Xenopus tropicalis: one gene and its partner. The protein of the gene in region 2 interacts with the protein of the main gene of each other region in a biochemical or structural test. Links are inferred from orthologs where the notes say so. Each region holds a gene or a part of one and is shown on either strand. Other genes may lie near its edges.

What was found.
Region 1: the proteins of tnni1 (region 2) and tnnc1 are reported together in a solved structure, tested with the Homo sapiens proteins (2 studies listed by BioGRID, with this or other methods). The link is inferred for Xenopus tropicalis from reciprocal best matches to the Homo sapiens genes TNNI1 and TNNC1.

The regions. Positions count from the first base shown.
Region 1 is NC_030680.2:128,884,748-128,889,014, reverse strand, and holds the start of tnnc1 (troponin C, slow skeletal and cardiac muscles), read right to left. Parts: upstream 2,801-4,267; 5' UTR 2,780-2,800; coding exon 2,756-2,779; intron 1-2,755. UniProt on the Homo sapiens protein: Troponin is the central regulatory protein of striated muscle contraction. Tn consists of three components: Tn-I which is the inhibitor of actomyosin ATPase, Tn-T which contains the binding site for tropomyosin and Tn-C.
Region 2 is NC_030678.2:63,724,777-63,728,988, forward strand, and holds the start of tnni1 (troponin I, slow skeletal muscle), read right to left. Parts: upstream 2,801-4,212; 5' UTR 2,786-2,800; intron 1-2,785. UniProt on the Homo sapiens protein: Troponin I is the inhibitory subunit of troponin, the thin filament regulatory complex which confers calcium-sensitivity to striated muscle actomyosin ATPase activity.

The sequences.
Region 1 (4,267 bases), on a different chromosome or scaffold from region 2:
TAGTTACTTTTATACACTTTCATTTTTTGGTGTTACTGTTCCTTTAACACACTAGATGGTACCTAACATATTGGTACAGCCCAATATATTAACCTTTCTTTATCATTTAAGCCTGATATTTGCTAGCTAATCAGGTAAACACTAGCCAGGCGGCAACCATAGGCTATTTCAGACTATGGTTATCTGTTAAGCCACTGGCTTTTTGATCTTTGGGGGGAGTTCAAGCCCCCACTTTGATATCCAACATTTGGTAACGACTCTCTTTAGCCTATAACAATTTGCTGACACATGAAAGCATTTTTGTATTTGTTATAGTTAGTAAGACACCCCAAACCTTACTCTGACTGGCATCTAGGATACCAGCTCATTGGTCTGGGTCAGAACCTTGCCTTAGGTGGCAGGAAGCAGCCAGTTACTAGTGGTGGCAAAAAGCCACCTCTGGTAACTTTAAAAACAGAATTTTCATGTTTTAAAATGAAAATTCAGCTCTGCCAGTGCAGAGAGTGTAATAGCACTGCATACCAATGCAGCCCCACTAGACCCACTCTGCTGCTAGAATTGTAAGCATGGAATGAGAGAGAGGGGCGGCATTGGCCTCAGCTGGCAGCAGCCCCAAGATCATATATATAGTGGGCAGGTTAGAAAATTCAAGGCAATTTAGGGCAAATTAGTGCATTGGTGCAGCCAATCAGATCAGCCCAATTTGGCCTGGCATGTAAGTGACCAAATCAGACAGACAGATATGCTCATTTGGTGACCATGCCAGAAAGTACGTTAATAAGTGTACAGTCAGCTTAAGCCCAAATAGATATTTTCAATAAATCTTACCCTTGAAAAGACGGACAGAAAGACAGAGATATATGGATGCTCTGGTAGATGGAGGGGCAGTATTTAAACAAACAAATGAATATACAGATAGACAGGCAAAATGCCCATTATCCCTGTAGAGTTTGTATAGCCCCACCATAAAGTCAGTGTGTATGTGTGGGTCAGGGGGGCGTTGGAGTGCTGTGCATGCAGCTGGTATATGCAGGACAAGGAGAAGTGAAGGACAGTGAGTGTGAGTGCAATGTGGCTCATTCTCTGTAATATAATTACTGCAAAGTACCTGTACTTCCATCTAAATCTCCTGATATCTCCAATAGTAGGACACTGTACACTCCCCTTCAAACTCAACATTGCATTAGGGGCATTACATGGTACCAACTCTGCAAGAGGGTTCTATACATGATGAAACATGCTGTATATTATTTCATACTGGCCCATTGTAGACTATGCCTGGCTATGATTTTTCACACTCCTGTTCAGGTCTGGAATGGGATACAAAATAGGCACTGGCATTTCAAGTACACAGAAGCCCAAACAGCCCCCACCAGCCCAATAAATAGTGACTGTCTATGGCACCTTACAGCAGCCCCTCTGGCATTTCCCAGAATCTACAGATTGCCAGTCTGAGCCTGCCCCTGGTAATGAGCTCTAGGGATGCACTGAATCGAGGATTCGGTCCGGGATTCCACCAAAATTTGGAGTTTTTCAGCACAATTCAGATTTGGCCAAATCCATTTGCCAAATTCAAATCCTTAATATCATGTGACTTTTCATCACATAAAGATGAAGTTTTTAGGCACACTCTGTGAGCACGGTTCTCTTTGTCCCATCCCTAGCCTCATTTGACTATGGAAATTAGGATTTGGTTCGGGATTCGGCTGAAAATTTCATGAAGGATTCAGGGTTTAGCCAAGTCCCAAAATAGTAGATTCAGTGCATCCCTATTAATGACATTTGGTATTTCAATATCCTCCGACCATTAATATGCAGAATGCAGCTATATGGGAAAATGATGCTGCTACAGTTTCATTGGCCCCCTGTGCGTTTAGGCCAGTACCAGTACCCTGCGGGATGTTGTATAGGTCCTTACTGAGCCCTACAGACCTGCACAAATCCCTAGATGATGCTATGTTACATATGCTATATTATTCATTATCTAGCACACAATTAAACCTGTCATAAATCTCTATTCATCTGATTAAAATAAGGCATTTACAGTTTCTATTTCAGAGATGTCTTCCCTGTGTTACTGCAGATAATGTGTAAGTTTATACAGAAAATGATTTACCCCTAATTGTAAACTATCAGGATATTAAAAGACACCTAGGAGATCCATGACCATACAGATTATACAGGTCATGAAGTTCTGGGGGACATTATTATAACATACATGTTTCAGCCAGTCATGTGACACAAGTATCATCATTAAGCACTGTTTAAGAGAATACATTTTAAATGTTCATAGTTATACTGTACATTTCCATTTTACATGAATATATGCAGCAACTGACAATATTTCCCATAGACAGCAGTCAAACAGCAGCAGAATCTGATTTGGGATCTGAATCCCATTTGTAAATGAACATCCCCAGTAATGCAGCTGAAGGAGCTCTACAAAGTATAATAACAAGGTGATAGAATCCTTTAAAGTTATTGTGCTTTGACCATATGAGCAGTCATAATTCATTGTTAAAGGTAATTCCTGTAACAATATGGTCAGTGCACAGTGTACTTAGTATATTAATATTTACAGGAATCTCACCCTTCCTAAAACCAAGGGAACTGAACAAGTTGTATACAAATGCCGATCTATATTGCAACCCCTGCATCAGCACCAACCCAGAAGGAGCCCCAGGAGACGGGCTGATGAGCGAGCTTTCAGCTGTAAGGAGTAGGTTAAAGAGAATGCAGAAAGTTGAGCACATACCGCTGCTTTGTAAATATCATCCATTGTGAGTGATGCTGGTCAGGAGCCCAGGAGCCAATTGTGCAACACTGGTGACAGCTGATGGCTCAGTTTATATACCCCCCCCCCCCCCCCCCCCCGGCACTGTTTGCTCCTCCTGAGCCACACGTCAGCCTTCCCCTATCAATGGACACTTTCCAGGACATCCCCTTGGGAAGACAAAAGAGCCCACCTCATGGTTTCAAGTGCATTTATTTATATACCCAGCAGGAGCTGTGTGGCCAAAGATTTCCTTTTTCAGAGATGGAGGCCACAGGTTGGTACTAACATATTCAATAAGGGAAATATCATCACTTCAAAACCATTTTATTCTTTTGTACTGTATGCTGTCCATTTATTTCTATATTCTGAAATAACTGTCAGATACATAGGAGCTGTCCGACCTGCACCCTCCCTGCTGCTTTTCACAAAACAGAGAGCAAAAACCCTTTTCTATAGGATATTTTTCCTTTATTTCATATATATAACATTTCATGCTGTTCCTGGTACCAGCTGTCTGTGCTGCATCCTCACCCCCCGTCTTGGCTAAAAGATAAATTCACTGCACGACTGAAAAGAGTTCTTTAAAGAGTTCTAAATGTGTCAAAACAAACAAAATGCTGGAATTCATTCTCAGAGTTTAGAGGGAATGCCATATGTTTTCGCCTACAGAAACACTGCTACTACTGACAGGTGCTAAAGCAAGTGTCTCTGAGCCGAGGCTACTGGTCACCGCCAGCATGTTTCCCATAGCTTGCTAAAGGGAGCAGTGACAAGATTTTGTGTGTTGTGACTGACACTGTCCTATACTATAGGCTTAAAGTTCTAGGGAAGAAAAACAAAAACTAAAGTAAAATGAATATATTAAATTGTGTGAAAACTATAGGATAATACTATAGGCACCACCTCTCCCTACTATACCTGCTATCCCACAGCCCCAGTCCCTTCCCAGAGACTATTATCCCCACTGCTACTATAGGCACCATCTCTCCCTACTATACCTGCTATCCCACAGCCCCAGTCCCTTCCCAGAGGCTATTATCCCCACTGCTGCTATAGGCACCATCTCTTCCTACTATACCTGCTATCCCACAGCCCCAGTCCCTTCCCAGAGGCTATTATCCCCACTGCTGCTATAGGCACCATCTCTTCCTACTATACCTGCTATCCCACAGCCACAGTCCCTTCCCAGAGGCTATTATCCCCCACTGCTACTATAGGCACCATCTCTCCCTACTATACCTGCTATCCCACAGCCACAGTCCCTTCCCAGAGGCTATTATCCCACTGCTACTATAGGCACCATCTCTCCCTACTATACCTGTTATCCCACAGCCACATTCCCTTCCCAGAGGCTATTATCCCACTGCTACTATAGGCACCATCTCTCCCTACTATACCTGCTATCCCACAGCCACAGTCCCTTCCCAGAGGCTATTATCCCCCCACTGCTACTATAGGCACCATCTCTCCCTACTATACCTGCTATCCCAC
Region 2 (4,212 bases):
CTTCATTTTTAAAGGCAAGCATTTTATTGATTGCTATAGGTTAATACTGCTGGGCAAACATAGTGCTTTTTATTACATACGGGGGTTTACTGAGCAAAACCAACTTTAGAAACTAGAATCATTGCTAGTTGCCAATTTGTTAGGGCACACAAGGAATACCAGGTAGGAGTACACAGGCCTGTTCATTGAGGAGGTTTGCAATTTTAGTTACTGTGGGATGCCTAACAATTTGGCATCCCCAATGATTTAGGTTCTGTTTAAAGGAGCAGTATATAGCTATGTTTTACAAAAGCAAAATTAATAGTAGTGGGATTCAAAACAAGATTGACTCCAGCCTGTGTTGGACTTTGGTTAAGGGCTCACCACACCAACCAGGACAAAGGTCTCACCATCAACCAATAACTTTAAATAAGCATCTCTGCTAACTGCCAGAACCCTTAATTTTATCAGCTGGAGTATTAACCATGTAACTTGTTTTTTAATTCTAAAAATAGTAAGAAATATCACAACCAACACATTCATACAGTCAGTCACTGACAGAGCAGCTGGCTGAATCCAGCATGACTGCAACAATTTGCAATCTAATACTCAAAAACAGAATGATCTCATTTACAGTGGGAAAAATTGGATTATTAAGCATGCTAATAAACATTTATATTTCAGAAACTATAAGAAAAAATGCTGAAACTGATGTTTCTGAAAAATAATAATAAAGCATTCACTGCTGTAATGCCCAAAAAGTAGTTTCCCTTAAAATGTATATAATCCTCACCTGCGACACTAATTAGCAAATCTTGTAAGGCATACCAATACAAAATGGAGTAACAACAGCACTCACAAATTGCTTTAAAGGAACAGTAACACCAAAAAATGAAAGTGTTTTAAAGTAACTGAAATATAAGGTACTGTTGCCCTGCAATGGTAAAACTGAGGTGTTTGCTTCAGGAACACTACTATAGTTAATAAATAAGCTGCTGTGTAGCCATGGGGGAAGCCATTCAAGGTGGAAAAAAGGAGAAAAGGCACAGGTTACATAGCAGATAACAGATAAGACACCATTGTATTCTACAGGGTTTATCTGTTAGCTGCTATAAAACCTGTGCCTTTTCTTCTTTTGAATGGATGCCCCCATGGCTACACACCAGATTTTATATAAACTCTAGTAATGTTTCTGAAGCAAACACACAACTTTTACCAGTGCAGGGCAGCAGTACATTATAGTTTAATTTCTTTAAAATATATACATTTTTTGGTGTTACTGTTCCTTTAAAGCCTTTTGATCAGATTTTATCTGTTGGATGTTGTCTTTTGTTCCTGCATCTACATCTGACAATCTTGGTGGATGCAGATGCACTGTGCAGCCTTCCCTTCCAATGGATGTGTCTTGTCAGATCTCAAATGTTCCAAATACTTTACACATCAGATTTTTCTATTAGTCACATAACATTTTAACCAACGCAACTACATCCAGCTTGTAAAATGCATTGCGTCAATCCAACACCATCCTACAAAGTCTCCCATGTAGATTATCTCTATGATTGCCATGACTAATTAGTGACATTTTATTTAATTTCAAATATCTTTGCAGTAATAAGTGTAGTAAAAGGTACTCTCATTTAAAAAAACAAAAAAAAAAAAACAAATAAAAAAATACCCCTAGACAGGGGTATGCAGAAATTTATATATGGAGAGAGGAAAAAGTGTAGAATAAGGGAAATTGTGTTGTATAAGAATAAAGCACTAGAGACTAACAAACCTAGTTTAATCAGTGCAGAAGCTATGGCAAATTATGGTCATTACAGAGACTTATTTACATGATTAAGAGGAAGATGGAGAGGCTGATGCATTCATAGGGAGAAAGATGAAAGAGAGAGATTCTGAGTGGGAAAAATGGAGCTAAGCATTTGATAAGACTTAGGGGCAGATTTATCAAAACACGAGTTCAAATCCCGAATGGGAAAAAGATTACAAATATCACGAAAAAATCGTATTAGTCATGATAATATTGTATTGGTGATCTGAAAGTCACGAAATTTTCGTACATAAAGATTGTAAACAGCGGCAAAGCCGAGCCGATTTTTTTGCACTAAAAAAAAGGAAAAGTCGCGCAAGGTACGAAAAAGTTGCAGAAAATACGATTGGACCGACCGATCGAATGAACGAACGAACGAACGAACGCTGGGAGCGTTCGTGGATAAGTAAATGTGCCCCTATGTTGCAGAGTAATGCATGTTATGAAAGAGATGTAGAAGCTGATATACTGGTGGAAAGAAATAACATGTCTGGTGTATTGGTAGGGAGAGAGATACAGAAGCTGATGTATTCCGTTGAAAGAGGGATGCAAAGTTGTGATTATGCAAAAAATCAGAGACTGCATTTAGGACTCAAGTTTATACACTGGGGAGAAAGTTTCTCCCCAGAAACAAATGGCCTGGGTGCATAGAGGCATAGACATTGTATAAATCTGACTATACTAAGCATTGAGTATGTTTGTAAAATCTTATTTTAACCATAATTAAATATCATTTTCATTATGTTGGTGATGATTAAATGGATGAAACAATTTTAATTATATATCTATCAATAATAAAAATGGCAACATTCCAAAAATGCCAGCATAAATAGAGAGGCTGTTGTGATATATGTGATTTTAGCTTAACCTTGCACAATATTTTCAATCTTTCTCTCTTTAAAAGAGAATACCAAGTTGTATACAATGTAACAAGACATGAGTAAGTAACAATGTATAAGAAAAAAAACTATAATAATACTTCTGGACACTTACCTATCTACAGAGCCTTCACTGAATGAAGAGTGCACAAATTCTGTACTGCCTTCACTGTGTAAGGATTTTTAACCCAGGATTTTGAACACAATAGAGCACCACGCCCACCAACACTTTTAATACCAGATGGTCTGGCAAAGAGGAAAAACTCTTTGTTCTGATATTAGAGAGTGGGGGAGGCCTAAACTGCACCTGTCTTTTGGGCTAGTTCTTGTCTAATGATAATACTGATATGAGAATGCTGATAATTTTAATCCTGAGTTCTATTATGGGATAGGAATGCAGAATGACTCTAATCCCTTGTACAGACAAGAGCAGAAATCATATTACATACACCTCATAGTTATAAGGGGGTGCCTGTATATAGAAATCTGTATCTGTGATTTACACTTCTTAATCATACACACCCCAAGCTTAGTTAAGAAAATGTTTCAAATCTTACTGGGAGCATGAATCTTTAACATGGTTATAGTTAAATTATCTTTAAAGGTTTAGACTCCTTTTCCAAAGAAACAGCAAAACATGCTAAAACACAAACTACAGGGCAGATATAATAAAACTGCTGGCAAGGAGAGTTCCACATGTGAATCATTCTCACGGATGAATTTCTAATTTTAAAATTGTTAAATTGTTCTTCAGCCATGTAGGGTATTGGAGTGCTATATTGTGCATTACTGGGGAGCAAGGGGATCAGAGGGAAAGATGCAAATTATAATAAACGGTGCTATTGTGTAACATGGTTGTGAAGAAAAACTATCCTATTACAAAAAGTTGGAAGAAGAGCTGTTCCATTACAAGGCATGGGAGGAGAAAAAGTTTTTTTCCATTACACTGCTGTAGCATTAGAGGGGTGTAAGGAGAGAAGCCATTCTCGTTCATTGCAGGTTTTTAAGGAAAAAATTGTGATGCTTTGTTGCAGAGGATTATAGGGTAGGAAAGCTATGCTTGTAGGAAAGAGTGCAGTGCCATAATAAAGCGGGAAAAAAAGATTTTCCAGGCAGTTTGAACTGAATGGGTATGTGTATTTTTTCAACATTCTCTACTATATAACTATATGAAGCTGCATGTTTCATTTTTCATTTCATGTTGTTTAAGAACACACTTAATGAAGCTGCATGTTTAATTTTTTGACATTACTGCTCCTTTAAACAACACTCTAATGCTGAATGAAAATGACACCAATCTGTTACCACTTCAGACCTGACATCAGCCATTGTCTCCAATGAAACAAGTTCAAATAGATTAGAATTTCTTGTGTACAAAGTAGTGTACGCAGCCCTGTAAAAACCAACAGCACCCAGTTCCATTTAATGCAATTTACCTTAGTTAGAGGTAGAACCTCTGTTTACTCCACAAGTTTACACCTCACACAAATGCCATAGTTCATTACACAGCTTTATATCTATGTTATAAATCATGGAGTACCA